2 linked regions of the Danio rerio genome follow. The protein of the gene in region 1 purifies or fractionates together with the protein of each later gene. This does not show direct contact. Links are inferred from orthologs where the notes say so. Each region holds a gene or a part of one and is shown on either strand. Other genes may lie near its edges. The genes, in order: ppp1r10 and tox4a.

Region 1 (17,235 bases):
CTAACTTTTACTCTAGTTATTTTTTACTAATGTAGTTATTTTATTGGCTTTTTAATCTGTATAAATAAACTTTATTTAAAAGTCAATTACTTTAATTTAAACAAATATTAAAAGGGCAGCTATGATGAAAATCAACTTTTAGAAGCTGTTAAGACAGAACTGTGTGTAGGTATAGTGTCTCCACTGTCATATTGGGTTGATGTTAACCTAAGAATTCTCTTGTTTAAAAATTCCTGACTTGAAATATGACCCAAATCCCAGTGATTTTGAGGCCCACCGCAATGTGACCGATTAGTGCGTTTTTTTTCTGGCTCACCAAATTGATTGACAGGCGCCATGTTTCTAAAAAATAATATATATACACATCCACAGAACATTTATTTTGCAAATAAACTGAGATTAAAATATTTGTTCCAAGTTTTTAAAACAGCTTGTTTGTTATAAAGACAGTAAAATCGCTATGTACTGTAATTCTTAACCAATCTAATCACCATGGCCACATGGTGTCAGTAAACAAGCATATGTGTTTGTACTGCAAATGACATTTGTGTGAGACTCATCATTTCAGAAAGGCTTGAATAAACTCCACCACAAATACATCAAATAAACTAACTTGGTATTTTTTACTTATGAGCTATATTTCAGCTTCATCCGAGTCTGTCTCTGTGCTGTTCATCTGACGCATGACGAGAAGCAGACACACATTTGGGAACAGTGGGCAGGGAGAAGCAGCTCATTTTCATTTAAAGCCACAGGCTACAAAAACAGCTACACTGTACTCGAACACTAAAATGAGCAAATTCTGGAGACTTTAATGAATAATCGAATGGGTATTTTGAGCTGAAACTTTACAGACACATTCTGGAGACACCAAAGGCTTATCTTAAATCTTGTAAAAGGAGTATAATAGGTGCCCTTTCAAAAATCATTATAAAGCATCTTCGGTTTTAAGCCAAAGTTAAACATAGGTATCCTGTTGTGTTGTTTGGTGTATAAATTAGAGTACAAAGGGAATGCACAAGTGGTTTCTAAATTATTCCATTAGCTTTGCATGTAACCAACAAAAAGATTAGCATGTTTTTGGTCCTCAAAAATTGTGTGATGTTGACCAAGAGGTCCACAGATGCTCTTTCAAACATGGCAAAACAAAAGAGAGGCGCTGCTATGTGGAATTACAATGGTGTGTCCACTGTGGAGGTTTTGTTTTGATTGTCTAGTTCAATGGCATCACACACATCTTTTGTAATGGTTAACAATGTTTGATCGGTAAGCATCCTGTGGTCTTATCCACAACAGGACAAGATTATCCTAACAATAAAACATTATGTAGTCTCAATGTAGCATTACATATGTACAAAGATATATAGGCAAAATCATGGCAACTAATATTCATCTTTACCCATTTCTAGCTGTGATAATTGTGAGCCATGATGCCAGGCTGATCACAGAGACCCAGTGCCAGCTGTGGGTGGTGGAGGACCAGTCAATCAACCAGATCGACGGAGACTTTGAAGACTACAAGAGAGAAGTGCTGGAGGCCCTTGGTGAGACCCTGGTCAACAAGCCTAAAGAGTGAAGCACGGCCGGTGTTTATTACAGGAGTGTCAAACTACATCACTGAAGGGCTTTTTGCTGCGTCTACATTGCTACTTCTCAATAGAACCAAAAAGTACCTGCATGCAAACATACAAACCCTACAGCTGCAGGACGAGTGAAAGCTGACGCCAGATCAGTATTTTCACATGCAGGGCTTGTTCTTTAGTCATGATGTCTGGCATTCTTGTGTTAATCTTACATTCAGGTCATGTAATCACCAGCTCTGTTCATCTTTCTGATGCAATGCTATTAAACCTGCTTTGTAACTGATCGCCACAGTGGGAATTTATCAAATGTGAACAGAGAGGACTAGAAGTGTGCCGTGTGATAACGGTGTCTGACTGCTAATGCTATTTACTATTAATGCCACTTCATAGTATTGGCTCTTGCGTTCACATCATTATATTATCATTGTGCTGACATACTGAACCAGCCTCAAACTGTTTCACCCTCACCTGTGTTCATACAGTGATGCATCTGTCTAGAATTATGAAATAAGCAGGGCTGTTGACTCATTGGGTTTGGATAGAAACCGAAATTTAAATGATTTGAAAAAGCAAATAAATGATTTTTGCAATAAAGTCAAGATTTTCAGAGTTTTATTTCATTTTATGCTTCATATATTATGCTTGTCTTGGTAGGAACAAATGTAACCATGTCAAAAGCAAATGTCTATTTTCTTGTGGTCGTTTTAAGTGCTGGCAGAGAAACAAGGCGGATGAAAATTCCAAATTTGCTTTGCTTAAAGAATTTACTCTGGATAAAGCTGTATTTTATTGATAATTGGAATATTTTTTGACTAATTATAGTAATGTGTTTAATGGACTGCTGCTGTTCAGCTGACTAAACATCAACTATTTTAAAAGTGAGATGTGACCAATCACCACAGTAAATGTGTACACAAATTTCAGGACTCCATCTCATCTGACTAAGGTCTGTTAAAGCAAGATTCAGACTTCAGGTTTAAGGTAGTCTTTGTAGATCCGCTTCACTCTTGCCAGTTCTCGCTCGTCTGGTTTTATACTACCATACCAAGAATACCACAGTTCTCCAGAGCTGAGGGGAAATGGAGGAGGAGTTGTGGTTACAGCACCATGAGTGTTTGAATAGTCTTCTTTAGTGAAATCCACATGTGCAAACTGGGCACGAAGTAAACCTTTTGAGAGAGAAAAAATGTATGAGATTATATCCCTCGAGCATGTCCACCAACTTTTTAAAAGGGATTAATGGTGTGTTAACACTTGGCAGGTTTTTTTGAATAAAATATACTCTGTGGCACCAAACAAGTGGATATCAATCAGTCAATTTTCAATAATAACAGGACATGATGTCTCAAGATGCAACCATAAAATTAAATGCTCAAGTTTGTGATGTTGCTTGTGACACTAAAATATAGATGTTAAAACATGTCCTCGCTGCAGATCTTCATTTGTGTATAACGCCAGGCAATGTTTTGATAAGTAGCCTAATCTATTAAACACAAAAACAGTGTTGCATTTTCATCCCAATTAGCGGTTTCTCAACCACTTTTCTGACATGTCTCAAAGCCATTGTCAGGATTTTTTTTTTCATTGTTTATCATGGATACCTGCGTAACACTTTCTTGTTTCCTCTCATAACATCACACTTCTGCCACTATCTGCTAAGTGTTTTATGTAGAGGTCTGACAAGCTGGCTTCAATAAAAATAGAATAAAATAAAAATGCCCAAACCGATTGCAATTTTAGCTGGTTTGAGATCTAATTAGTTTGACATGAACATGAAACACTTAATTAGGTTAAATAAAAAAAAACACACTTAAGAGTTTTTGGTTGGTTTGGTCCAGACAAAAAAAATGCTATATTAAGCCCTGGGTTGCTTAAATTTCACACTATTACTTAACACTGAACCTAAGGATGTAATAAAAACAACTAAAAACTGAAATACTTCTAGAGTTTATATTTTGCAACAGATCTTCCTGAACATCCAACAATGATGTGTGCATGTGATTGTATAAAAACAAATAAGAGCTTATAAGATGTCTGAAGATTAGGCATGGGACGATAACAGTCATTGTATACCGCGGTTTGAAAAAGTCAATGTTTTTAAATACACAAAAAAATGTTCTGCTATACCGTTCCTAATGTATGTGAATTTTTTTTTGTTTATGTTTTTTTGTTGTTGCTTTTTAGGACAACAGTATCTCGAACAGAAAAAATGTCCAAAGATGCCGTTTTAAATTGTAAAGAAATCAGTGTTTTTGAAACTAATGAAGACAGAAGTCAATGATTAATTTAAATTATTTAGCCTGACATGTTTACTGCTCCATAAATTTTAAATGTTTCTCAAAATAAAATATATTGTGTTCAAAGAGAAAAAAGTTGTAGTTTTTTACCCAGACATTTAAAAAGAATACATTTAAAAGGTAATCACAATACCATGAAACTGTGATATTTTTATCCAAGGTTATTATACCATCAAAATCTTATTGACTTTATTCTTCAATGCGGAAGTGTGCATGGTTTTGCGATTGTTTTAGAACTTCCCAATTCAGTTGCCTATGGGAGAAATGACTAGGAATAATAAAACTGCAGAAAACGATCAAACTACTTGCTCTACAAACAAGTGTTTGCATGACTATAAAGACAAAGCAAAATAATATAATAGGAAAATGTCAGTTTGCAACATCAAGCAGCAGAACGAGCAGTTTTTAATGTCTAAAAATGAATGGAAGTAAATGAGACAGGAAGTCTCGAGCCAAAAGTATTCAATGGCTGCACCAGCTCATACGCGAAGAATAAGGTGAATACTGGCCCATGTCTAGTGAAAATGTCAATGCAGCACAGAGAAATCTATAATCAAACGCTGACATATGTATATTAAAATCTGCTTTAAAAGAAAAGCAGTTCTGACAATGTTCAGTCAAATGAACCATACTAAGAGCAATTACACCAGAACCCTTCTAATCCAATCAAAACCTGCCAAGTATGAACACACCCTTTATAAGGCGCTAATTAAAATTGCAAAAACACCAACTTACCAAAATCTTTAGCAGTTTCAATAGCCTTGCTAAGTAGTTTCTGTTGCTTCATGCACACACCTACAGAAAAATAAATGAAATCAAAAGTGGTGATCAGATCAGATAAAAAAAAAATTTCCATTGGAATGTACTGATAAATCTGTTACCGGTTACTGTGGGATCATGTACCACTCCAGTTTCAGGACAAAAGAACTGCTGCAACAAGTTCACATTCTGCAGAACAAATATTGTAAAATTATAATAAATGCCACTAAGCTTTATATATATATATACACACATGTGTATATGTATACACACACACACACATACATGTATATAAAGGCATGCGACAATAAGCATCCATAATACTGTGAATAATTATGTATCATTTAAGTATTTAAAATCCTATTATAGAAGGTTTAATTAATATTCATATTGATATCATAAGAAATTCTGAAACCATTATATGCCTGCTTTTAAGTGTTGTATTCACACACACACACACACACACACACACACACACACACACACACACACACACACACACACACACACACACACACACACACACACACACACACACACACACACACACACACACACACACACACACACACACATATGAATAAAAATGATTATAAAAGCGTCTCAAAAACCAACCTTGTAATGGATAATGATATTTGGATCACGACAGATGGGACACGGGTTCGCACATTTCTTATCTCCTCTCTGTGACAAAACACAAATCATTAATTCATACTTTACTGACTGTGCTGGTAATAATACAAAAATAAATAAATAAATGTGTACTCACAATACAGGTTTTTCTTGTCTTTTGAGGTGGGATCCCACCTTTATGATTCCTCCTGTAGTTTGTCCACACAGGCTTTGTTCCATAGCGTTCAATGTATTCTTAAAAAAACAAAAACTTAAAGTTATTATATGCTGGTATACGTTATTATATTATATGCTATTATATATGTTGACCAGTGTTGGGGGTAAAGCATTGCAACAACACAATAATATTACTTTTCTAAGTAACGAGTAAAGTAACGTTACTTTTTCGAAAATTTAACTAGATTTACTTTTTAGTTTCAATTAATTAGCTTGTAGCGTCCTTCACTAATTGTTCACGATTCATTTATTAATCACATTCCATAGAATTAGTATGTATTTTTTCATCATGAACTAGAGAGAAAATAAACAAAACAAATAAATCCCGAAAATTAAAACACTAAGCCAACATCAACAATTAAACATTAATCTTAAACAAATAAACCAAATTACCTTATTTTTCCCTCAAACCAGGAGCTATAACTCATGAAGGAGGAATCCGTGAAGTAACCGTATACCTGTGCCACTTTTACTGTGTTTCGCCTAGCGTTCCATACTTTGTTTTCAATCATTACTACACGCAATATATCAAGTAGGCTCCGCAATTTTTACGTCATAATTAAAGTCCCCAAACAACTTAATTCATTCAACAAATCATAAAAAAACTAATTCTAAATCATAAACGAATTAACACATTATTTCAAGTTTCTTTACATAGCTTTTAAAAAATAAGTGAATTAAAATTAGTCACAATGTATCAAGCAGTCAATGAGAGAATGTGTTCATTATTTTGAATGCATTTTTTCATTTAAACAAAAGGAAAAGGGGATTATAGTCTCAATGGACAGTGATTTTACTTAAGACAAATGGTACAAAAGCAGCAAACACATTGCTTTAAACTTTTAATAATCTGTATATACGGCATGTATAGCTCATAGCTCAGGGGTCAGGAACTTCTCAAATAACATCCTAAAATTTTTTATTTGTGTTTTTTTTAAAGGTAAATGTGGGTTGTACAGTGCATAAATAATTGCAGAACTCCTCTATTTAAAAAAGAAAAAAAAAGTTCTGAAAGAGGTTAAGCCTGAGCCAGGTAATAAAAAAAGTAACGCAAAAGTAATGTGACGCATTACCAGTGATGTAAAGTAACAAATTATAAATACTCAAATTACTGAAATGGAGCAGTCTTTTCTCAAGAATTGAAATTTAGTAAGTTGTTTTAAAATGTGAATTTTTACTTTTCCTCGAGTACATTTTTAGTGCCGTAAAGTTCTTTTACTCCACTTCTTTCCTTCAACCTGCAGTCTCTACTTGTTTTGTCTATGGGCATTGGCTAAAGTAGAATAATCAGTCCTGTGATTCTGGTCCAACCAAATCGCACATAGAAACAAACTTATATCATCCTAAACCTAAAGACATGCTTTATAAATGTAACAAACTGCTTGGAAGCATTAACAGTGTCCAAGAAGATGGACGACCAAGAGACTGTTTAGATCAGGGGTGTCAAACTCAATTCCTGGAGGGCCGAAGCCCTGCACAGTTTAGTTCCAACCCTGCTCCAACACACTTACCTGTAGGTTTCAAACAAGCCTGAAGGACTCAATTAGTTTGATCAGGTGTGTTTAATTAGGGTTGGAACTAAACTGTGCAGAGCTGCGGCCCTTTTGGAACTGAGTTTAACACTTGTGGCTTAGATGCAAGTCACTGATGAGAAGAGTGATGCCAACTGTATAATGACTGAATTTGTCAACACTAACTAAATGCACTAATGTTACGTTTACATATCCCTGCACAACTTGCATATAAACGCATCAGCCTTTCACAGCATAATGCTCACTACTTGCTAATCTTTAGTACTTTTAAAGGGTCTACTTTTTGCTCATACTTTGAGTAATATTCACAACAGATACTTTTACTCTACTTGCACTACATTTTTGGGCAAGTAATGGTACTTTTACTGATGATTTATCAGTACTCTTTCCACCACTACGCATTTCTTGAGAGGGAGTTGGACTTCTTACCATAAAAGTAACAAAGTAACGCAACTAGTTAACGTTACTTCTTGGGAGTAACTCAATGATGCACCACTTTTAAATATAACATTCCCCAACACTGATGTTAACTATATACTTTAATAGTCATATTTACCTTCACTTTTTAAGTACTCCCATGGTGTGTCTGCATATCTAGATAGCGTCTCCGCTGAATTGGTGTTATCAGCAGATGAAGATGATGCACAATAATTGACACGATGCACCGGAGCGACAATGGACGTTATTCTTACATCACGAATTCTCTGCAATGCAAAATAAAGAACGTGATTCGTCCTCTTCACGTGATCACTTCGCTGTAAACACGACATTTATATAACCACACGTTATATCAAAAACATCAGTTAAAATGTTAATTTATAATCAACAAACCTGTGCTTGAAGATGTCGTTGTAAATTAACGGGAAATGTGCGGCAAGCAACTATCCCAATGCGTTGTAAGGAGGCTGCCATTTTGTCTTTGCAGGAAACACGGAAGTTGTAACGGTTAAAGTGTACTGTGACGGAAGTACGCAGCTTTTATTATTTATCTCACGTTTTCTATTTGTTGTAAAACTAAACACGCGTTGTCTTTTGCAAAGTCAGCTTGTCATGAAAGTCTAGTTTTAGTCTTATACGCATATTATTTGTTGGAATTTAAATGGATTTGCTTGTTTTCAATGGCAAACTATAAATAATTAAAATGAATGTTTCAGATCTTATCCAAGACACAATTAATATGTATTTTTTATCTGCTTAGCCTTAAGTATAGGAAAAATAATGGATTTATTTTACAAGAAACAGCAAACATCAGTGATAATCAAACTGTTATTTTAAGGGTTCAAATCTCTACAATGCATAAATGATCTGATTATCATTAGGACTGATGCTGTTAAAGAAAATCTGTGTGAAAATATATAAATTAAAATAACATTTATGCTTTTTTTTAATCGCAAACATTTCTCTCTTTGGAACTATTTTAATCGACGCAAAGTACATAGAATATATGGTAGATAAACTACATAATTGCAACATTAATGTGTCATTTTGACTGAATACAATATATATATATATATATATATATATATATATATATATATATATATATATATATATATATATATTTTTTTTTTTTTTTTTTTTTTTTTTTTTTTTTTTTTAAAGAGCATATGAATCATAAACCATAGTAACTGGTTGGGGTGGGCTCGTCCTTGAACAAAGAAAGAAGGTCGTTTCGAGAGTGTGCGCGCGACAGGACCGCGTGATCATCAGCTCCATTTTGTGTCGAAAGAAACGCCCGAAAGCGCGCTCGCGCCACTGGAATGACGCAAAAAACGTCAGAACCATATATACCGAGTCCCACCCTTCTAGAGCATTCCTGGATTTGTCTGAGGTAAGTGCTATATCGAAGGACAGCTTTCTTACTTTTTTTCGCGATTTAAAGTGTTTTTGCCCCAACTTTTGGCTACATCATCAATTTTATCAACAATCCGGCCTTTTTGAACATTACCTGGATTTCCGCCTCCAAAAATGCGTTTTTTTCTTACGTTCTCTTTGTCCTGTTGTTTCGTTTCAGGTCTGAGTCGGTCTCAGTGAAGATCTGGCGTCGAGGATTTTTCAACTGTGTACGAAGAGAAAACCCCAAAATCTCTTACTTTTTTCTACTCGAGTAACGGACATTCGCTTACTACCTTTTTTGCTCCAGATTGTTCAAGAAGGAAAATCTCAATTTCAGCCACCACAATCCCGCCCATTATGCCATTTTTCAGCCAATAATGCTTAAGTCATGACAGTTTACGTTCTCTTAAACTGTTATAAAGCTGAAATTTGTTGCTGTTAAGCACAAAATATTAATAGCAACCCGAGACGCAGAGGAGAGGTATTAATAGTAAGTGTTTTTTCAAACCAATTTGAATCGAAACTACGTTAACAGTTAACCAATTGTTTGTGTTATAAATGATTTCAGATATAAATATAGATGAAAGCTTTAGAGAAAGATCGACTGTGGCGACCTTAATGCGCCACAGTTTCTTCTAGAGGACAGACAGCATGCTGAGATAAAGCGAGGCAGAGCTAGCTATAGCGTATGAGCTCACATTGCAAAGCCAGAGCAGCGGCTTCAACGCCCTGTTTCTCTTTGTGTGTGAGACGGAGCAATCCTTACCATAATTAAAGTAACGATAATTCATCGAATAATGAGCTAGCCATCGCTAATCATAAGCAATCTGTACATAAAGATTGCCATAGGCAGAGTCAGGAAGTGACTGCATTCAATTGGGGCTTTTTTTTTATAAACTGCATTCTTTTCAAAGGAGAGCTCACTGGAACAACCAACGCAATCTACACATAAAGATTGCCAAAGTGGCGCCTGTGGATTTAGCCGAACGAGGGAAATGCAACATTTTGTTCATAATAGGTTAATAGCTGGCGGAGCTGTGGATATCGTTGTGATAGTATTTGGTGAAAAAAATAAACCTCCCTAGGCAGTGATAATGTATGAAATGCATAGCAGTCTAAGTATAAAGATTGCATTTTTGTGTCGTGTGCGTAGATGGGGTGTTATTTGTCTTTTCGACTTTGCTTTAAAATGGCGGACGGGTTGTCCTTTTCTTGAGGCAATGGTGGCTTTGTTTTTCTGGCTGGATCTACAGGAAATACTTTAGTTCGGAACGGCTGTCGCGTCGCCATCATCCCCATTTACAGCTTGAGGTATCGTCTTAACATACATGAGTCGCTAGCGGGGTTAATGTAGCATTTTTGTAAGATAAACAGCAGGCGGGGGACATATATCGTATTTTTTAAAAGACTTGTTGCAGTTCAAAGATGGCGACCGTGCATCCGTTCTATTTAGCCCACCGCGTACACGAGGACAAGTGGTTAAAGATAATGGGCGTGGTTTAGCTCGGACTTCAGCCAATCAGAGGAGCCGCTGTCAGCTCAGGGCGAGCTGCTAAATGAGAGGGAGACTTCGACAGATGGCAAATCAAATCCCCTGGTGGCCACTATTGAGCAGACGAAAATAATTGTATTATAGTCAGGCCAACACTGTATTGCTCTGTTGACAAGTTCTCAATCAATCCTTGGTCAGTTTTGTAAACTCGATTAAAAAGTGAATGTAGGTTAACTTACATGGTGTTAAACTGGTTTATTTGTAGCCATTATTATACAAAAAGTTATTAAATATAAATAGTTAAGTTTATTTAAAAAGTAAGCAAACAACTTGTAACATCTTGACAGGTACTTCAACGTTAATGTTTTCTTTACAGTGACTGTACATGAAATCTTGTTCACTTTTTCTTGTTTGTCATGACAACTGACATTTCCAGGAATTGTGTGTATTGTTCCGTGTTTAAGGAGTTCGGTTGTGACTATAAAAAGTTCTTCACCAACAGTGTTACGGGTAAGACAAAACCTGATTTCTCACACGATCAAAAGTGAGTAAGTTTAACTTTTTCGATTCAGCCATTAGTAGACATTTTCAACTGTCTTGAAAATTACGTAGAAAATAAAACGTTGCTAAACTTTTGCATGCCTAAAAGTCGTACAAATCTCCATACTATCGGTTTACGTGTTTTTTAGTTGTAATGTGTAATCTAATCCGTCGCGTTGATAATCTTTCTGCTGTAGTTAGTTGTGTTGAGTCGTCGGCTTCCAGTCAATTGTGCTGTAGAGAGAGGAAATGAAGGCAGAAATACTCGCTGTTGCTCAGCGTGGGCAGGGCAAGTGACGTGATCTCTCTCTCTCTCTCTCTCTCTCTCTCTCTCTCTCTCTCTAATTGACTTGGCTTCCTCAGATCTTATTGATTTCATTTATTAACAAAATGTACATTGTGTGTATATTTGTTTATTTTAATATATTAATCACATTTAATGGACCATTTAATGTCATTGGCCTATGAACGTTTCCTGATTGTTATCAAACTGTTTCATAACTAACAAGAGGCAATTCAATCATAACTTAAATGTTAAAACAGCTATCATAACAATATTTATCAATATGTGTCTCTTTTTGGAAGCTATAGAAATTAAAAATGTAAAACAGGAAACACGTTGGGACCACTGTTTTTGTTTACATCCCTCAAAACTTGTATTTTTACATCACGCAGTTTGCAGTTGTATTTCAGTAATGTAATGAGAGAAATTGTATTTAGAAATGGTCACAAGGTGGCGACATACAACTTCAAAAGCCTTGTGTTCAATTCCACAAAACCTTTGGTGAAAGTACAGTTGCAAGTACGAGTGTTTTCTGAGCTGGACACTGATCCACAAGGCGGGGAATCAAGTCTGCTGGAATCAATTTTACCCTTTCTTATTTGCATGTTTGTTTGTTTTTTCTCAACTTTTGTTCTTACTATATACATGTATATTTATATTAAAAGGTATGGAAAAATGTAATGCATCACAGCTAAATAGTAATTATTAATGAAATATTCCCAGGTAGCTACTTTTTAAATCATTTTATAATTATAATTTGTTATATTATTCATTTAAATATAATTTAACAATTTTTATCCCACCTTGTGGTTTTCGATTTCTGTACACTGAGGATTAAATAAAAACATGTTTTGGGGAAATATTTAAATCTATTACTTAAATTTTTTATACATGTTGGTCTCGCTTCATATTAGAAAATGTATTATTATATAGAGTAAAAACAACAACTTAAATACATGAAGGTGTTATGATAAGCTTACATTGGGTCCCTCACATTAATTAACAGCTTCATACCAGTAAGAAATGTTAATATCTGTAAAATGTTCCAATTTGACACCCTCAGAAATAAGTACAAGAGCTGTCACTACTACTTTAAAACTATTTAAGTATAAATGTGTACTTTTAATATCCAAGTATAAACCATTTCAGTACAGACATTTACATTTCTCACACCAGCTCTCATACCTATTGCTGATAGTGTTATAATATAGCATATTGTTTTCAACACTTCTATAAACTTTAATTTAAACTAGATCATTTCAATGTGGTGATGTCATTGGCCCATGAACATTTCCTGCTTGTTATAAAACTATTTCATAACTGTAGGCAATTCGATCATAACTTTATGTTAAAAACGGCTATCATAACATTATTTATCAATATGTGGACCTTTTTGGATTCTCGGAAGCTATGGAAAATAAAAATGTAAAACAGGACATATATTGGGACCACTGTTTTTGTTTACATGCCTCAAAATGGTCTATAGACAGATTGTATATTTATTCCAGAGTCTTATGTGTGGTTGACTTTTCTGTTTAACAGAAAAATACCATCACTCATTTGCACACCTTTACTGTTTCCTCTTTAGTGTATATTGAAATTATTTGTCATAAATGGGGTAATAGTAGTTTTGGAGGGTTATCATTACAATTTCTACTCTTTCATTACAAATAAAAGAAGTTGTAAAAACAATGTTCAGCTGTAAGTGCATTCTCAAATATTTTTCAGTGTTGTCTTTGCATCCCTCTTATCTCTTCTCATTTATATTTGCAATTTAAATAACTTGACTTGAATGCACATTACTGTCACAGCCACCAGACTCCGTTTTATAAGTCCTTTGTACCTGTGATGTTTACTTTGGGTAATGTACAGTCAGTGTATATATAAGCAGGTGGGTTTATGACAGTGACATAATACATGTAATAACATTTTACTTTTATTTATCTTTCATCATTCCAGATATGAGTCCTACAACGCTCACATAACCAGTCATCCCTTTTCTGGTGTAATTGAATAAGTGACAAACTAATTTAATTATAGTTGAAACTAGAAGCCTTGTCATGTGATCGTTGTACAACTCTTTCTGCAGTCATCACTAATGTTATAACAGATACACCAGGTGCTTCCATAAGATGCATCTTTTGGTTTATTTGGAAGGGATCATACAATTTGTTAGTTCCAGTGTAATCTTTCTTTATTTCTCTGGCATCTAGTAAGAATTTCAGTTTAATTTAGTAATATAATTACATAATTTCACTAAGTTATAAACCAAGATCAATAAGAACCACTTGTTGTTTAATGTAGTAATTTAATTAACAAGCACATGTATTTGTTGTGAATAGAAAACATAATGTATCTCTCTCTGGTTAAGATTGCACTTGTGATTGTAAAACAAATGTAATGGGAACCTGAAAACGGACACTGTCCATATATGATTCAGCTGAACATGAAAACAGTCTCTCCATTCATCGAGTGCATACATACACTGCTGCCAGTAGCCTTGCTGTGTTGTCTATAGTAGTAATACCACCATTTATGCTGAGCTTGTTGCTTCCAAGTTACTTCAGATCCTCATTCGCCTGGGTTAATAGGAGTAACTTTTGAATGATTCAACATTGTCCTTGGGCTGTTCCAGTGAGCTCTCTTTAAGTGTCATCGTCTCATATTTTCAGTATTGATTGGGCAAGTTATGCCATATCTCAGATTCTCCCCAGTGGCAGGAACACATGAATAACCCCCTGTTTTCTCTCCTTCTGTCAGTAAGCAGCCATGGCCGTGGGCCCAGTGGACCCCAGAGAGGTGTTGAAAGGAGTTGAAGCTCTGCTGGGGAAGGATGGAGAACTACGTAGTCTTGAGGGAGTCGCTAAAGTCTTCAGGTTAGATACTGTATTCAGTTTAAGTTTATTAGTATAGCACTTTTCACTATAATTATTGTTTCAAAGCAGCTTTACAAAAGGTGCACGCTATTACATTACAGTCAAAGTCAGAAAAGTTAAGGTGTATAATATATATATATATATATATATATATATATTATACGTACATAACTTGCAGTTATATATAGTGTTCTTTTTTTAAATGATGACTTATATGTGCATATAATTAATTTTTACCACTTTTATTTTCTTGTAAAATCAACCAAATTAACACATTTTTCTTTTTTTCCCCAACAGTCTGATGAAGGCCTCACATAAAATGGTCAGCAGATGCATGTATCTGAACATATTACTTCAGACAAAATCACATGATGTGCTAAATCGGTAAGAAGGAAGCGTCTGATAAAATACAACACAGTTTGATTATAAATCTTTTGTTTATAAGGTTATATCTTTTTGCCACAGATTCATTCGAGTTGGAGGCTACAAGTTGTTGAACTCTTGGCTCACCTACTCGAAGACCACCACCAACACGCCTCTGTTGCAGCTCATTCTGCTGACCCTGCAGAAGCTTCCTCTTACTGTGGACCACCTCAAACAGGTACTTCACCACACCGTGGTTTACATAACTCACACTCATTCCCGCAGTCATCTAACATCTGTTCCTGTCTGTTTTTTGCTCTCTCTTGCTAGAATAACACTGCCAAGCTGGTGAAACATCTGAGCAAGAGCGGAGAGACAGAAGGTAAGAGCACATGTTCCACCAATCTATGCCAGACAGTCTGTTTATTTAGATTCAGAGCTCAAGTATGAACTCTGTGGTTTCTCTTTTTCTCAGAGCTGAGGAAGTTGGCATCTGTGCTGGTGGATGGCTGGATGGCTATTATTCGCTCTCAGAGCGTCTCCAGTGGAGCATCGCCTAATGGTAGGCCTTCTACCTTTTTCCCTTAAATCAGACTTGCTGCACTTTCAATGTGAGTCTTAGGTAAGTGCGTTTCAAGTTAGTGGCAAATAACCCAATCTGTTTTTTATCAGACAAGAAACGGAAAAAGGAGGATGGAAAAGTGCGTCCAGAGGTGAAGCCAAAGGAAAAGGCAGCTGAGGAGGAGAAGAAGAAGGACAAACCAAAAGCTTATGCTCCAAGTCATGCTAAGATCCGCTCTACAGGTAAGTCACCCCTGTTGTTTATATATTACAGCATTATTTGGGTGGAGGGGGTTATGTTTTTGATTCAGAGACATTTGCACTGTTAGCTTTGTATTTGTATTTAGGCTTTAAACAAAAACCCAAAAATCTAATAAATATTTGAATTGTTTCATATATTAGAATTGGCCTTGTTTAAATATTTGTTGTTGTTGTTTTCTGTGCAGCAAGTGAGTGTCAGAATTTATTTATTGTCTCAGATTACACACTTTTAAAAACGCTGTCTTTAATTTACTCAATTACTTTGGTCTTCAGGTTTGGAGGTGGAGAGTCCGGCTCCAGTTCCTGTGAAGAAGCCACCCGTTGCACCCCAACTTGGAGACAAATACAACATCAAGCCAGCTGTACTTAAAAGACCAAGGTAAGTGCCCACTCTAGCTTCATTCTTTCCAGTGAGAAGCAGCTAATCCGAGATTGGTCCTTCTCATTTTATCATGACTGGAATTCAGAAGATTTGAAATGAATCCTTAACTCTTTTTTTTTATTCTTTCAGCACATCTTTGACTGACGCACCACCAGTGGAAAAGAAGTACAAGCCACTTAACACCACCCCCAACTCAACCAAAGAGATCAAAGTCAAACTCATACCCCCACAGCGTGAGTATGCCCATTCAGCGCCTCAACTCCAGCAATACGATTATGATAATCTGCGGAAAAGCTTTGAAATAGTTTCGAGAGAGAAGAGTTTCCCCTCTAACTAGTGCTCAATCTCCATTTCTCTTCAATTAGCGATGGAGGCCACTGGATTTTTGGACGCCCTCAACTCTGCTCCAGTGCCTGGCATCAAGATCAAGAAAAAGAAACCAAAAGCAGTTTCACCCACCAGTAATAAGGTATGCCTCTTTACACACAGCCCTCATTAGACATCTAGAGAATCAAACAATTGCTATAATGAATGTTTTGTTTCACTCCACAGCCCTGTCCATTTGACAGCAGGCCGCAGTCATTTTCAGGCGCACAGGCCAAACCATCTTCCCCTGAAACGCCTTCATCTCAAACCCCTCCTCATGAGAATCAAGAACTGGAGCAGCCTGGCACACCCGTGCCCACCGAGGAGCCTGAAGCCATGGAAACCGGTGGGTTTAATCGCATGTCCATTGACAATAGCCTTCCTCAAAGCTGTATGAGTGAATGTGCTGAGTTCTGTTGAAATGTGTTTGCAGGTGATAAACCCAATGCTCTGGCTGAACCTCGCAGCGAGGAGGAGACTCTGACTAAGAAAGGAAAGAAGAAGAAAAGCGTGCGGTGGGCGGAAGAGGATCATCTCAAAGAGTACTTCTATTTCGATCTGGATGAAACTGAGAGAGGTTAAAAAAAATTCTTTCTAAATGGCTTTAAAGCTGCTTTTGATTAATTGCTGAATAAAAGTAATAAAATTACTCATTTAAATCCCTAAACATTTGATCAGTAGTGCATAATCATATTTCATCATACATATAAAGTATTTTATTTAATAATAATGACTTTTTACCCTTCTACTTTAGTGAATGTGAACAAAATTAAGGACTTTGGTGAGGCGGCTAAGCGGGAGCTGATGATGGACAGGCAGACGTTTGAAATGGCTCGTCGTCTTTCTCATGACACCATGGAGGAGAGGGTGCCCTGGACCCCACCGCGACCCTTGACCCTATTAGGCTGCCTGGTCACTGCAGGTGCCAGCAGCCGAGAGAAGATGATCCAGAGAGACCGAGAGATGGGCATTCTGCAGGAGATCTTCCTCTGCAAGGAGAGGTAAGACACTTCCGGGACTTTTGTTTCATAGTGTGTCATGTTAAAGGGCATTCGCAGTACATTTAACACACTAAATCTCATATTTTAGTTGATTGTTTAATAGATTTCAACAATAATGACCCGGACACAAATTAAATGAGGTTAATATTGTTTCTGCAGTGTTCCAGACAGTCCTCATGAGCCAGATCCTGAGCCGTATGAGCCCATGCCTCCTCGTCTCATCCCACTGGACGAGGTATGTTTTTGTAGATGCT
Region 2 (16,499 bases), on another chromosome or scaffold:
TGTCCAGCGCGCACAAGGCAAACGGTTCCAGCAAAAAATGCTTCTCCGCACCCAAAGATCTACGTACGCATCAGCGGGTCCATACGGGACGCAGACTATGCTGCTTTAAAGAGTGCGGAAATGGCATTTGGCGCCTGCAGGGCGTCCTCGCTCACGGGCATCCTCACGCCTGCAAGATCTGCGGCAAGAAGTTCAAACGCAAAAAGATGCTCAAGCGGCACGAGCGGTTCCACACAGGAGAAAAGCCGTATTCGTGCAGGAGGTGTAAAAAGACGTTTGCCCTGCGGAAGAGTCTACGAAGGCACGAACGTTTCCACACGGGAGAAAGGCCCCACACTTGCCCCCACTGCAGGAAAGCTTTCCGCCTCAAGAACAATCTGAAGGCTCATCTGCGCTTCCACACCGGTGAAAAGCCCTACATTTGCAACCTCTGCTCCAAGGGTTTCAGGATCCGCAAGAATCTGGAGAAGCACAGACTCCTTCACTTAGCGCCGGTTAACTTTCGAACTCTTCAATAGCAGAAGGGTCACGTGATCACATTTCTACCTCGCATCAGAACCACTGGATCCCAAACAGCACAGAGTTTAAAGCACTGGCGATTAGGTGACTTATTTAGTGTGTTTCCACTTTTTGTCTTCAGGAGTGTTTGTGGAGAGTTGCTCCTCACACCGTCTATGCTAGTTGTGAGTTGTTCATGTCTTTTGAAGAATTGTTTCATGTCACTAAGCATTAAGTGTCCAGGGCATTAAAGAGCCCATCCTGCAGTTCACCGCAAACAGACTTGACTGATTTCTGCTCGATGTAAATATTCTGTAATAATCGTAGCTCTAGAATGCTTTTTAAACTTTACAACTTTTATAATCTGGACCTTTTAACATGTCTGTCTGGCTTCTTGCAACATGGTTTACATGTTGTTGAACACTGGAGATGGTTGAGATTTGGCTTTGTATGTCTTTTGTATGTACTTTGAAGAGATTCTTAAATTGGACTTTTTTAGCACGCTTTCATTTCTCAAAACAAAAAGAGAAAAGTGCTTTTCGTAACTCTTTTCAAACATTATATACTCATTATTATAGCTTTTACATGCGTTTTCTAACTGTTGTTTCTGTGTTTGGACCAAGCAGCTTTTTTTAATCTCAAGTTTTCAAAGATTATTTGTTCTATCCTTTGTGTTTCTTATAATCCATCTATGCTTTCTTGATTACATGCTTTAGTTTGATATAAAGAAAAACCTTAGTGACAGATTTGTGGATTTATAGCATGTGAGTTTATAAAGAAGAAAAAAGCATTTATTATATACATCCTGTTTTGCCATTCCACATAGCCATTATGAAAAGACAAGTTTTTTTTTTTTTCTTTCTAATAAACGAATAACCATATGGTTCATAAAGTTCACTGGGCTCATTTTTTATTTTTAATGAAGGTTTTTATTATATTTACTATTTTAAAAATATATATATATATATTTTTAATGATAGATTTGAAAAATTAAGCAATAAAACAAGCGATTCCAAACTTTAGAATATAGAATAAACAGTGATGCACATTCAATCTTCCATAATAAAGCTCTGGAATTCACTCTTTGCCATTAAAAGGGCACCTATTTTACCCCTTTTTCAGACTTATTTTAAGATAAGTCTTGTGTGTCTCCAGTATGTGTCCTAAGTTTCAGCTCAAAACACCCATCAGTTTATTTATTATACCTTTCAGAACGTTAGAATTTTCTGCTTTGAACACAATGAAGCTGATTTTTTTGTCTGTGCCCTTAATTCTTGTTCTCTCTGCCCACCGTGTCTTTCAGAGTATGCCTCAATCTCCGCTGTATCAGATGAACAGCACAGTGAGACATGAAGCAGATCTCACGTAGTGTTTGTGAGAAATACTACAGTAACAACTTTCCCAATGATTATTTGATGTGTTCGTTGTGGAGTTTATTCAAGCCTGCAACGGTCACACAATGTCGTAACAGTTTACGCGCACTCACACACACGCACACACGCACACGCACGCACGCACACACACAGTGCAAGTTGCAGTGTTTTGCACAACAAATGTGACAGGATACATGTTAATATCCACTGCTGTAAGGATATGTTAGGTTAATGAACAAAATAAACCTTATTTAACGTCCATAAACCAGGATTAAAGCATCTTTTATAATTGTACTGACACACGACTGTGGTGATGACAGTAAAATCGCTGTAATGATTATAGACATGCACGGTTTTAAACTTGTAAAACCCATTCTTGATCACATTTGATGATGATTGATGATCAGAGAGCTGAACACATCTTTTTTTTTCCCGGTGTCTTTGCCCGTATCCTTTTGTTGATATGAATATACACGTTACTACGGAGACATGTTAATACGCAGCTGTAAATCAATCTGGTGGGCGGGAAAACCGCCCTCCTATGTCACGTTGTGGCAGGCCTCAAAATGGAAGTGATTTGGATTATAATTTAACGTCAAGAAATTAAAAAATAAATAAATACAAATAAAAGAGAGCCTTCTTGTCTTTATATCACCCCAATATCACTGTAGACACACTATACCTGCACCGTTCTGTCCAAACTGCTTACCAAAGATGATTTTCATCATAGGTGCCCTTTAAGTCAGGCATTGTAATATAAAAAAATGTAAACGAACTCATTGACGCCATGTAAATATAATTTCTTAACTAAAATGACTGCATATATATATATATATATATATATACTATTTGAGATAAATTTCTGGGAAAAAAAGTTTATTTTTATCATCATCATACATTTGTTTAAATGATCAACAGACAGTCAGCTGTAATCACATCTACCAGTAGGGGAACATCTGCAGTTCATCCTTTTACTGACAAAAAACAAATCAGTCACAATAAGATGGTGTAATCAGCAATTATTTCTGAAACTTGGTCCATTATGGCTGCCATTTATTAATACTTGAGTACTTTCTGTAATACAATATATAAAAAAGTCAGCAAAACAAATTCCCCATAACTAAGGCAAGATCGAAGACACTGTCAGCACATGAAATAAAGATCTGAAGAATGATTGCTTTACTGTTTGAGGCTCACTAATACCGTTATCATCAATATGACTACATTAGAAAATAATATAACAGTTCAGAATTTTCTCAGGTTAACACAAATAACAAGCAGCATACATACAAATCTAAATGAAGGATGATCTTCACTGTGTTCTGAGGTTCAGCAGTGAAGAGAAAGTGTTCAGACTGTGGTTCGGGGTATTCGTCAACAGCTCCGTTTATGACCGTGATTTTTTTTTTTTTTGTTCAATTGTCTTTTCATGCTTTCAATATTTACAACACAAACACTAAACCTTCACTAGCAATTCCAGTAAAACATCGTCATGTTAACTTGTAAAAGACACGTCCAGGCACAATCAGAGCCAGTATCAGTGGGATTTGCTTGGTTTATTTGACAGCGGCTGAGGTCTGGTTCTTGATTGAACACCAGGCCATGAAAACATCTCTGTGAAAACAGTATACACTTACGGTTAGCAAAATTAAACTGACCACACAGAAAAAAACAACAACTGGGAAAAAACGATTATGCTTCTACAGCAGTGGTCTTGAACTCAATTCCTGGAGGGCCACAGCTCATTGCAGCTTCAACCACCTCCAACTCACACCTGCTTAATAGTCTCTAGTAGTCTTGATGAGTTGAGTTGGATCAGCTGTGTTTGATTTAGGTTGGAGTAAAATTGTACAGAGCTGCGGCCCTCCATGAATCCAGTTTGAGACTGGTGATATTCAATATATCTGCAGTCCTCACCTGCAGTGTGTGGCCACACATTCATTGCTGCAGTATTCTTTATCCCAGTCTCGACTCTCCACAGCTGGGTTTGTGCATCCGGCTCGGACACACAGATTAGCAGAAGCTGTTGAAGAGGAGGCAGCAGGAGCCACGCTGACCTCCATCTCCATCTGAAAAACAAGCCCAGAGATTAATGCTGTGATGCATATCCATCTGTATCTGATCTTATCATGTCATCAAGTTTAATTAGTAAACAGTAGCAATAACACAGTTTTACACTGTTGATGAAACTAATCTTCAGTTAACTTTCTTTAATTGGATCTCTGACTCTTCTACATCTGACAGACTGGCCATTTTTTTGGTTAAAGCTGTCGGTTTACCAAAAATCTTGGTGCTTGTTTTTATTACGGACATGTTTGGACTAACATCACATGATATCATTTATTTCATATATTTAATAATAGATGAATTATTGTGTAAATAACTCTGTGTGTGTGTTAGATGGTAAAGGTGAGGGCCGATGTCCTGCATATTTTAGTTCCAACCCCAATTAAACACATCTGAACCAGCTAATAAAGCTCTTTCTAGGTATACTAGAAACTTCCAGGCAGATGTGTTGAAGCAAGTTGGAGCTAAATGATGCAGGACACAGGCCCTCCAGGACTGAGTTTGGACACCCCTGGTATAGGTGATGTATGTATTGTGCATGTAGAGCTGCAGTACAATAATTGTCATCTGATTAGCATGCTAAGCTAACTGCGGGTAGTATAATAAAAAAGAAAACAACACTGCAAAAGGTGAAGCAGAGGACTTCCTTACTATTAGTAGGCCTATTGTAACATTGCTGCCTTGTTTTTCTTGTGTAGATGAGTGTTTTGTACACGGTTATGGATATATAAGATTTTTAAAACATAATGATAATAATAAGTGGTCTTATAACTTTATTCAATAAATGTTGGTCTAGTTTTAACTTGCTAGCAGTGGAAGTAGCCACACTGCAAGCTCAATAATGTACATCCAGCTACTAAATTTCCTTTACTCAAGAGACACTTTTAAACCTAAATGGTGTAGATGGTGTAAAACATTCATATAGCTTAGTATGACAATATTTTCTAAGATAATATCATGCCGATACACTTACAGTCATGACGCTCTAGCGCCAGTACTTTGATTTTATTATTCGAACGAATAATATAATTCCATAACGGTCCGCTAGATGGTGCCATTGAGTTTTTTTCTGGTGAGCAGAGCAACCTTCAGCATGCATGCAGTAAAATTGGATGGCAGCATCACAGAAAGGTGTACACAACGTTAATGGCAGGTTTTCATTAAAGTGTTTGTCTGCTTGACAATCCCATTTTCCACTGCATGTGTATATAGCAGAATATTGCTATACATTTGAAAAATCCTAAATAATATTATATCAGGACAAGTATTATAATATTGTATCGTTTCCCACCCCCAGAATAAACAATAGCTGTTTTATTGTTACAGGGACAGTTCACCCAAAAAAGAGAATTCTATCATTTATTCACCTTCTACTTGTTCCAAACCTGTTAGCGTTTTTTCTTCTTCTGTTGATCATGAAAGCAGATATCTTGTATATATGTTGGAAAGCAGCAGCCACTTCCTACTATTGATGTCAATGTGTGTTTTTTGTGTTTAAAGGGGTGGTCCAGAGTGTATTTCTAAGGCTTGGTTGTGTTTATAAGATGCAAAGCAATGTGTGCTCATGCTTCACATGTTGAAAATCACGCTATTTTTTCATATACCTTACTTTGATTATATACAGCTACTCAGCTAACATGAAAACAACTGTCATATTTCCTAGTTACTATCCCTCAATAGGCTCTAATTAGTCATCTAACATAGGCCCAATCCCAATTCTATTTTTGTACCCCTAAAAATTTACCCCTAAGAATTGGGACACTACAGCACCTGCACACACCATCATACGTCATCACAATCTCTTGCTTCATATGAGATCAGACGATCGGGACTGCTGTAGTTATTCCAGTTGTGTTCTTTTTGGTATTTATCTTCAGGAAATCACTCAAGTCATATATTATTTTATCATAACGATATAATGTGGCAATAAGATCATAACTATACTGTGTATTTACACCGTAGCCATATTCATCTATGCAGACACAATAAATCAACATTATAGCAGACGAGCTCATTCCCAACCACAAGACTTATCTGACAGGGGATTCGAGTGTCATCGAGAGTCAGAATGTTGTGTAACTGCTATACAGGAGTTATGATTAGGGATAATAGATAGCGATATTAGCAGTTTTTATTTTAGTGTTTTTGTTTTTTAAACCATGACGGTAAAACACAAATGCTGTTATGAATATATTAAAACATGCTTGTTTGTCGTAAAAATTCGTAATAACGACAAAATAAATACTAATTTGTGGATCTCCTGACTTCTGGTGCAGCTATACTGCCGTTGCGGCTGGTGTATTCTGGGAAATTTTCTTACCCCTTGGTTTCGAGTGTGGTCCTGAAAAATCTCATTTTGAAGGGGTATCAAGCCCTTCCCCTGAGCCCTACGCTATTAAGCTAAAGAGAATTGGGCCACCCCTACCCATTCACCTGAATGCACAAAAGAAGGGGTAAGGGGAAGGGTTAAGGGGGAGAATTGGAATTGGGCCATAATGTGCTGTGACTCGCAGATCGACTCCATGTCAACAGGAAAAGCGTCACACTTCTAATAGCACACGCTGTGCCTTTGCTGTGTAAATACTGTCAGAGTAGCTGTTAGCCGTATCAGTTTCAGCCTGAACAAACTTTACATACATTTAGGTTGTAAGCATGTTTAAGCAATATAAAACGTTCTCATATCTTTTGTGAGTTTGTTATTTGAGATGTAGAACACAGGGAAAGCGTCTGCATTGAGAGACACTGCAGTGCTGATGAAGGTTGTGGGTGTTCACAGCATTTTGACGGATAAATATGAATTTGTAGTTTAATTTTTAGCGGTGCCAAACAGCATTTCCTGTTGTTTATATCCTTGTCTAAGCCCTTGCTTTAACATACTGTTAACGCTAGACACTATGTCATAGATCAATTTTAACAAATAAAAATACTTACAGGTTGTGGCTCACAATCTACAGCTTCTTATATAGTGGTTGGATCTGCTCCTCCTTTGAGGAGTTTTTAGCCGAATCCAGCACTGAACTGTGAGAGATTCTGGATGCTCTCCCTTGTCAAATGCTAGCTATATCTTTATCATAATTGCCTGGAACATAATTAAAATTAAATTGTAAGCACTTCTCTCTTTGTGCCATGCCCTTTGGAAGCTCAAATACAGAAACAGAAGATGCTCTGTGGAAATAGCAGCATTTGCATGGCATTTTAGCCTTCTCTGCTATAACATTACAGCGCCTCCGACCATGCCCCTTCACTGTGCAGGGTGAATGTGCCTAACCTGAAGTGTATGTGATCTCACTAACCCAGATGTATTGTTTGTAGTCCCCAAACTTTTGCTGTAGGCTTTGCTAAGCTAACTCTGTAAAAGCCAACATCTCCCTTTGCATTGAACTTTGAGCGCATTACATTTAGAGATGATGTTTATGTTCACACAGCTACATTACACATCAACCAAAGCTTAAAATATTATATGATAGTGGACCACCCCTTTAATAGTGCATAAATGGAGAGGACATTTTCATTTGTGTGTGAACCATCCCTTTAAATATGGGAAAGCAAACCTCTTCAGGCTCCTCTGTCACAGCCTCATCTGTCCCGGTGTGCAGCTCCTCTCTGGGTTCCTCCACTTGCACCTCAACGGGAGCAGGATCATCTGCGGCTGAGATGCTGGATGCGGAAATCACAGGAGTGGCGCTCGCTGCTGTAGTAACAATAATCGGAGTAGACAGGTCAGAGTGTATTGAAGCGGGCACGATCTTTATCTGGAGAGGTGGAGGTGGAGTAACGGTGATGCCCACAGAACTGCCTGCTCCTCCACGGGGTTTGGCCTGAAGAGGCGGAGGGGCTTGTGTTTGCACCATCTGCTGCAGGCGGGGTGGAGGCGGTGTGCCCTGCATCTGCTGCAGAGGTGGCGGCTGCCGTCCAGGCTGTACGGCTCGCACACCAGCTGGAATCACCGTGACCATGGATGTTGGGATCTGGTGGAGCTGAGCGCCTCCTTGAAGCATCTGCTTAGAGATGATGATTTTGGTGACAGTGGGCGTCGGGGCGGGGCTTGGTGCTGGAGCTTGACCAATGGCTACAGGTAGAGAGCCTGTGCGGGAGCGAGTGGTGACCTGAGGCAGGTCCAGGATGATATTGGAGGCGCATATGTTGGTGATTGTGTTCTGTTCAGTGATGGGGGTCAGCCGAGGACGGATGGGGGCAGCAGGAGGAGTGTGGATGGGGGCAGGAGATGGCATAGAGGGAGGAGTGGCAGGAGCGCTGTCTTCAAGCTCAGAAGATGACTGGATGAAAGACGTTGAAAAAATAAGTAATATCAGATAAATGTGCAAATCAGAAACTGACAGGCTAGAAATTAGACACTCACTTTCGAGAGCTGACTTGCTCTGTAGGCCGCTAACGCTTTCAAATAGTCTTTCTTAGCTGCCTCTGTCTTCCTCTTGTAAACCTGCGAAAATTAATAAAATGAAAATTAAAAATGACACAAACTCTTAAATGGTACAACAAAGGCTTTTACACCATGTGTCTTAAATCATTTAGTGAAGTGACAAACCACTAATAAAATTAAAAATGTTGTATGTAAGGTTTTGATTTTTTTTTAAATCATAAAAATACCATAACACATCTGCAGATATTTAAGAAACATGCTAATGCCGAGTTGCATGATTTTAGCTCTGATTTTGACTCGCCAACAGGTTTTGTGAAATCGCCGACAAATGCCTTGTAACAATCACAGAGTATGAACTATCAAAGACAAGATCTGAGAGAATTGCAGACGAGTCGCTGACACCTGTGAGATATTTGACATGCTAAATATGTGGAGCTGTCGGTAATCTATAATCAAGCCGTGTGAAATGTGTTCTGATTGAAAATTACATCGGCGATCACCTACAGCCAATGAGAGAGCAGCATCCACTAGTATGGGTATCTGAGGGTCAGTGAGAGGTTGGGGGAGAAGTTAAAAGCACTTATTTTCCATCTATTTGGACCCAACAAATAGAGGAAAACTAGTAGAAATTTGGAAGAGCACTCGTGTCTGTTGGACGTGTCAGAGCAATATCACAACCAGGTCGAAAAAGAAAATGTTGAGAAGAAATAGCAAATTCCCTTCAAAAGTCATGTGAGCAAAATAAGTACATTTTCTACCCCACTAAAGGCGTCTTTCTCTTTTGATCTAATTATCGACTATAGATATACTACTTAACTTGATCTCGCGTGTTTGGTTGTGAAATGTAGTTTGCAGACCAAGACAAAAGTTGCCGCCGATTTCTACTATTGTAAAGTCATGTGGTTTGAAACCCCCTGTCGCCGATCCATCTTGCTGTGTAAACAGCACTGACAGAATGCTGCCCCTGATAGTCATGCAGTGTGAAAACATCCATGATGCGACTACTTTAAAAAAATCATGCAAATCTGTACTCTGCATAAGTGAACGCTTGTTATTCATGCAAATCTGAACTCTGCATAAGTGAACACTTGTTTATCTGAAAAACAAGAATTCAAGTCTGTTATTCTCCTTTGAAAATGTGCGCTCCATGTCGGAATGTCTGTCTTAGTTTTGGTCTCAATAACCAGCCCACTGCCAGTTTACCCAATCATATTTCAGCACACCAGGCTGCCTTGGTGGAAAACACCCCATATTTCTTTTCAGTTTTGAAGGCTGCCTCAGTGTATGCAGGCGCAGCTAAAATTGCAACCTCCGGAAGACAGCAGTAACCTCCGAAATGAGATACAAGAGTCATAAAAATCTATGAGATTTTATTTTGCAAACAATTGAAAGTTTCCCAACATAACCATCAGCTGTTTAGCTTACAGGGAGCACATTTACATAAACACCAATACTCCAATGTTAATACGATTAAGTCAATACTCTTAAGAGTCTACCATGTAAACAGAAATTTTTGATTACCTTATTCTTCTGACTAAAGTAAGAATCAAACTGTACAGTAATCGCATTGCAAAGATGTGAAGTATCTGTAATTTAGGGGCATTATTGAAGTGCAGTACAGACATAAACACTTTAATCAAATTATTACTGTTTTGAAGTACTTTTCACTACATTTTGCGACAGGATGCACACATGGTAGTTGTCAGGCATTTGACGACAAACAAATGAAAAGCTAGTGTATGAAATGGCAGAGGTGGCCTGTTACTTGAGAATTTGTATCCGCTGTCATTTGTTTGCATGCATAGTGTGAGAAATTAACTGCAGTTGAACTTAAACTGAAATTAATAACAAAACATCCAAAATCACATATGGTGCCAGTGCTTCCCACAGGTTTGAAATATACTTGTGGTGATAGCCAGATTAAAACACACCATTTACCCACATCAAATAAATAGTTAACAATATGCGACAAACAAAACAATTTAATTTTTAACAATAATTGTATTTATTATGACACTGTTATACATGGTTTCTTTTCAATGGGTTAAAGTAAAAAAAATAAAATAAAAAAAAAACTATTCAGGAGCCATGTGCACCCACTGACAGGTAAAACTTGCTTCTCCCTCTCAAGTTTAAAGCAAACTTGCAGGTCAAAGCATTTTTGATATGCATATAAAACACACAATATATTGACATAATTAAATTAAAATATACAGCAAATGATGAACAAAAAAATAAATAAAAACAGACAATATCTCTAAAATGACCATAATTACAAGATTAAAACGTGTAGATTATTTAAATAAGGCAGACGCATTGATTAACCATTACTAATGTTGTACATATATTTTGCAGCCAGTTTAGATTAGAGAATGAATTGTTTAATGTTTCTCTTGCTCTCGCAACTGCGCTGTCAGCTGTGACGCCAAGCGAAAGTAAGCTTAAATAAAAATGTAATGCAAAAACGCATAATGACAGCTTTAAAATGTAAAAGCAAAAGCTGAATCCCAGACATTTTAGCAGCTTTAGAAACAGGGGGCAGGCAAATTTCCCAAAAAAGTCCCAAAAAAAGCACGTCTCTGTGGGTCTGCAGAGCACTTGAGACTGTCTGTGGGAGTGTTGACAGTTCAACATAATTTTCACCTACTTAATCAATTGCGGATGTTTGGTTATGTTGGGATGATACAAAAAGTGTAAAAGTATGACAATAATACTAAAAAATTGTGTCAATTGGGCAGCTGTTAATATTCCTGGGCGACCCGCCTGAGCAAAGTCTATGAGTGGGAAGCACTGGGTGCCATGATGAACGCGAACTTATGTAAAACGCTGAATGAAATTAGTGTTGAATGTTGATGTATAGACGTTTAACGAACTATATACTATAACGTAAAACAGGATCATGAAAGGAACATTCAAAAAGCAGCTCATGTTAAACACCTTACTCTTATTATTGTCTTATTCAGATTAAGGCAAATAATTAGATTACTGATGTCCATGCAAACATAGTCAGGATAAGGCACGATCTTCAGCAATGCTCGTAATTTATTGTTATCATTAATCTGGCAACCTGCGTGTACGTCATGTTGTTATTGGAGGAACCATGTAAAAAAAAATGCAATACCTAATTGCATTCTGCATCTTTAAGCCTGGTACATGAACAGAAGAGCATTATTAAGGACTCCATACCTGTTTTTGCTCCTCTCCCAGGCTGTCCCACATGGAGGCCACTATCTTAGACACCTCTCCAAATGTGGCATTGGGGTTCTGGCCTTTAATGGCAGCCTGTGTGTCTCTGAAGAACAAAGCATAGGCTGACACTGGTTTCTGTGGCTCATTAGGATCTTTTTTCTTCTTTCCCTTTTTGACCCCGAGTGATGCTCCTGTGTCCACTGTGGCCACTGGCACCATGGATGGCTTACCACCCACCCTCCTCACCACAGGTGGAGGAACAGATATCTGGGCTGGACTGGGCTCAGAGACAGCGAAAGAGTCTACCAGCATGGTTTTCTGAGAAAGAAACCGGGAGATGTTGCAAGATGAAAAAATAATGAAAATGTGCCACCAAAACAGGCTTATATCTCAAAAACTCACTTGTCTAAAATCCTCCATGTCTTCATCCTGCAGTGATCCAGAAGGGGACGGTGTGGTTGACAGCGGTTGGTCTGGTGATTTTGACACAGATCCTCCACCAAGGCTGAGCCCTAACTGGGCACTTAGATCTGAGTGGTCTATGGTGGTGAGCTGGTTGTGTCCTAAGAGGCTGTGGCTCATTTCGTTTATTGGAACATCAATAGTCATGGAGGAGGAACTAGCGAAATGAGAGCCAACAGAATGGCCAAGATCCTAAAAAAAAGGGGGAAAGAGAAAGATTCATGATCTGAAAGTGCAATCTACACTCTAGATCTAATTACATTAACAGCCATTTAAAAGGTCATTTGTAAAAGCAAGAAGTATGGAGGCAATAATACACATCTCTCATTTAAAAATAAAAGCATTCTCAGGATATTTAAAACTGTTATACAGTTTTATATGATTTGGTCTAAAACTAAAATCTCGATTAATTGAATAATTTAACTCGATTATGATTAATGAACAATTATTTAATTTCTTTTGTTTTTGCCCTCATAGTTAACAAGTTACATAAAGTGACAGGTTTTGTGACAAGCTTTGTACAGTAAAGTGTAGCTATAACAGTTGTGATGTGTAATTACTTTTTTTTTGTATGTGAAGGCTGTGCCGGACCGTACATGTGCTCTTGGCAGAAGCATAATATCAAAATAATGCAAGTAGTACAAATCATAATACAATAAGTATAAATCAGCCCAGAATGGAGTCATTTGAATTCACAAATGGTAGGAAAAGTAATTGAAAAAAAAAATGTATCTGAAAAAATTTGATTGATTATAAATTGTGAATGTCGATTTTGATTACTTTTAAACTACCATAAAATGCAATGTCAGATCTTTCTAATATCATACAGCACTAGTTTGAAAATAATTTTATGTCAAGAAAGAAATTTTTAGAAATACTCATTCATGCATGCACTTAAAAACGACTACTGAACAAGTAGGATTGGGTCATAGGGCATGTTACAAGATTTGTGCCTAAATTCCCTGTAAACCAGGGGTGCCCTAACTTTCTTACGAAGGGCCAAAAACCAAACTTGATTAAGGGTGCTGGGCCGAAGCTAAATATACCAAACTGTATTACATTAAAGTTGGCATGGTAACTAATAATATTTAAAAATAGAAAGAAAAAAAATACTTTAATTGTATTTGTATTTATTTATCTGACAACAACCCTTATCAATCTAATAAATGGATTTCTTTCCAAATAGAGCTATTCAAGCCATCTGGTTAAAATGTATTCAAATCGCAATAAATATCGCAGGAAAAAAATATCACAATGTCAGATCTTTTCAATATCATGCAGCCCTATCTAGCATTTTATAATCCATTAGAAACAAGTGCTGGATTTCCTTTAGCAAACACGATGCAGACACTGCTGCCACTGCTAGAAAGAGAAAAGCTTACCACACCCAGAGTTGAGCTCAGCAGTGCACTTCCGCCCTGCTGGTTCATCACACCCAAAGTCAGGTGCTCCATACCCTGAGATGAGGGATTCATGAAGGTGGAGGCAAAAGATGGATCATTTCCCCCAACTACAGTATTACTGGCAAGAACACTTCCAACTCCAGCACCCCTTGAGCTCTCAGCCTGTTCGGCCAGCTCTCCAAAATGTGCCTCCACATCCTCTATGGTGAGAGCAGAGTCTGGATCCAAGGAGATTGGGATTTCGAACTCTTCATCACCCAGACAGGGTGTATAGAATGTTTTCTGAAATGAAAAATAAAGACATAAGAGCAATTCCAGCGCTATGGATGCGACATTTGCAGTAAAATCTCAGAACATAAATTCACAGAGAAATTATATATTAACTTTGTTAAAACATCTGTTTATATTTTCCAAAACAACTCACCACAGAGTTATGGGATCAGAAAAATATCAATCTGTAAACATTTGTTTATTTTATATGAGGAAAATAAACATACGTGATGGATGTGACCAAAAAAGTTTACAGTATGCAACGTACTTTGTACAAGTTCTGTGAATTAAATTGGACAATCTAAAAGAAATAATGATGATCAAAAGAATACATGTTTGCTCTCTATAGAACAAAAATGACTGATTTTATTTTATATTTTCACATTTATAAGGAAAAATCTTTGTTATGGATGTGACATCTCTTGCCACTTGTGTGACTTTGGTAAATCAAATATAATTGTTTGAAAATATTGACAGAGACATCTTTGAGTATTTTTGCAGTCCTGTTGAATACAAGCCTAGACAAACAAAACCTAGAAAGAGTTTCGCTATGTTGGTGAAAACCTAATTTTTTTATGGCAAGGTAGAAAGTTGCATAAAAATTTTCAGAAATAAAATATAAAAACATGTATATAAAAAAATACACAAGATGTCCCATTCTAGTGCCTGCATCAAACTTAATTTATTAAAGATATCAAAACATATTACACTTAAATGTCTACTTTAATATTAGGAAGATCTTTCTGAAAATTAAATCTGAGAATATGAGTGAAATAATGTCTCAAAATCATCACATTGATTTCATAAAAATTAAACAACATACTTTTTCAAATTTGTGCCAATTAAAAATATATATAAAATGATGAGAGATAATCATTTTTTAACATTGCAAACTTTTTTTTATTTTGGGTAAAAAACTAAAAAGTTTAAAGGAGAGACAGTAATTATAAATGCATGTTGGGGCTGCTGTGTGATCATTATTAGACTTTTAATATTTTACCAAGTTATAAATATAAGTCTTGTTATAAATATTCCTGACAAGCATTTATTTTAACACAAACTATTGATGTGCTAACGTTTTATATGGTGTATTTTATAAAACAAGGTAAAAAGATTTATAGTCATCTTTTGATCACAAAATTTAAATAAATCCAGAGACACTTTAGTCACTAATGGAAACAAATTAAGATATATAACATTATATTGCATGCTTTGACGCTGTAAAGCTTAAAATAATACATTTAGTCAATTTAAGCTAGCTCAGAAAACAGTCCAAAAAGAAGCACTACCTCAAGAAAATGATGACCAGGTCCACTGGTGGTCAGGTATGAATCACTGCCACCTGCAAACTAATAAACGGATGTTAAAAGGTGCAATAACCACATGCAAACGCGTTTTATTATATAGTTACGTTGAACTGAATATATATATATATATATATATATATATATATATATATATATATATATATATATATGTATATGTATATATATATATATATATATATATATATATATATATATATATATATATATATATATATGTATGTATATATATATATATATATATATATATATATATATATATATATATATATATATATATACACACAAAGCAGCCAGACTTACCTTGTTTACTGAATCATATCCATTGTAGGACGAGTTGTCCATAAACTCGGAATCAACATGTTGACCGGTCCCGTCAGAGAGTTCCGTGTAAAAATTCAGATCCATGAGGATACTATAAATACTAGATAAATATATAAATAATGTCTGTTGGGTTTCTTGATATGAGGAACGAGTGGGCTGCTAATATTCCAAAAGCAACAGACTAAAGCAACCAAAAATACAAATAATGAATGGGAAATAATGCTAGTCAGCAAAAGAAAAGAGCCAAGCAACACAGCATCTTGTATTGTTCGGCATAAGGTTTGTGCTGCTCGACTGAATAACGTCAATAAACTTCATTAGACGATCCACAGAGCAGCGTTAATACAACCAGAGCCGTTAAAAGCGTTTATGATGAGTGGTAGGTGAAGGCTTACCAATTTAGCCACTAACAAATTGAGCTAACGTTAACTGGCTAATTCGTGCTAGTTCGCAGAAGCGCTGCTGTTAAACCCCAACATGAGGTTTCATTCATAACACAGGCCTCGAGGGCAGAGAATTCGCCTGTTCGCTGAATGTAAAATCCAACATTCCATTAAATAACACTATAAACTGTACACTTTTAATATATATTCAGATTGAACAAACAAAGTTTGCCTAGAGAGTCTCACTAGCATGGATAGCTTCTGCCAGTGCTAAAATGGACCGATTCGATCGGTACTCTGCTATGTTTGTCTGTTTGCAACTTGCAAGTCTTATTAATCGCATTCCGGTCATAAGTTCATTTGTGTCCAAATCCTGAAAACCTTCTCCTGGCAGTATTTAACACGACCCGCGCGGTTCCTGTAATGTGGAGCATTTTTTTCTCTTTTAACTCCCCACACTTTATGTAATTCATTCAATGGTCACGGCCACCATCACTTTTTTACTTTACTACTGTGATCATCACAACTCACAAGGCTGGCGTTACTTTTCTCAGCGAACTTCAAGCAGGACCAGTCACAGTCAGTGTTGTCAACCATCTTTAAGAGGTTGGTTAGTTATTTAATTGTAAAAAAAAACGTTTTAAACAACAGCAATTATGGCCTTATGCGTTGTTGAATTTGAAACGAATAAATTCATGTAGTTTCTCAATCTCCCCAAGCCATTACAACATAATATCTTGTTTTGTTTTAATTATGTCTATTTAATTTTGTCTATTTCATAAATTTACATTTTTGTTTGTGTTATCTGGATATTTTTAATTTCA

Evidence for each region.
Region 2: the proteins of ppp1r10 (region 1) and tox4a purify together in Homo sapiens (affinity purification with mass spectrometry; 3 studies listed by BioGRID and IntAct, counting the BioPlex papers as one, with this or other methods). This does not show direct contact. The link is inferred for Danio rerio from reciprocal best matches to the Homo sapiens genes PPP1R10 and TOX4.

Annotation. Positions count from the first base shown.
Region 1 is NC_133194.1:32,885,159-32,902,393, reverse strand, and holds the start of ppp1r10 (serine/threonine-protein phosphatase 1 regulatory subunit 10), read left to right. Parts: upstream 1-8,832; 5' UTR 8,833-8,851; intron 8,852-9,034; 5' UTR 9,035-9,346; exon of another isoform or gene 9,347-10,695; intron 10,696-10,784; exon of another isoform or gene 10,785-10,858; intron 10,859-13,931; 5' UTR 13,932-13,940; coding exon 13,941-14,047; intron 14,048-14,344; coding exon 14,345-14,431; intron 14,432-14,512; coding exon 14,513-14,648; intron 14,649-14,740; coding exon 14,741-14,792; intron 14,793-14,885; coding exon 14,886-14,972; intron 14,973-15,082; coding exon 15,083-15,214; intron 15,215-15,505; coding exon 15,506-15,611; intron 15,612-15,743; coding exon 15,744-15,847; intron 15,848-15,979; coding exon 15,980-16,083; intron 16,084-16,166; coding exon 16,167-16,326; intron 16,327-16,413; coding exon 16,414-16,557; intron 16,558-16,734; coding exon 16,735-16,981; intron 16,982-17,140; coding exon 17,141-17,216; intron 17,217-17,235. Other genes in the region: abcf1 (ATP-binding cassette sub-family F member 1), read left to right, coding at 1,410-1,576; mrps18b (small ribosomal subunit protein mS40), read right to left, coding at 2,547-2,752, 4,616-4,675, 4,762-4,828, 5,255-5,323, 5,409-5,506, 7,577-7,724, 7,852-7,932.
Region 2 is NC_133177.1:41,088,681-41,105,179, forward strand, and holds tox4a (TOX high mobility group box family member 4-B), read right to left. Parts: upstream 15,958-16,499; 5' UTR 15,377-15,957; coding exon 15,272-15,376; intron 14,993-15,271; coding exon 14,933-14,992; intron 13,656-14,932; coding exon 13,353-13,655; intron 12,163-13,352; coding exon 11,911-12,162; intron 11,827-11,910; coding exon 11,506-11,826; intron 8,380-11,505; coding exon 8,299-8,379; intron 8,216-8,298; coding exon 7,490-8,215; intron 3,941-7,489; coding exon 3,789-3,940; intron 3,486-3,788; coding exon 3,428-3,485; 3' UTR 2,739-3,427; downstream 1-2,738. Other genes in the region: si:rp71-1g18.1 (uncharacterized protein LOC559922), read left to right, coding at 1-518. UniProt on the Homo sapiens protein: Transcription factor that modulates cell fate reprogramming from the somatic state to the pluripotent and neuronal fate. In liver, controls the expression of hormone-regulated gluconeogenic genes such as G6PC1 and PCK1.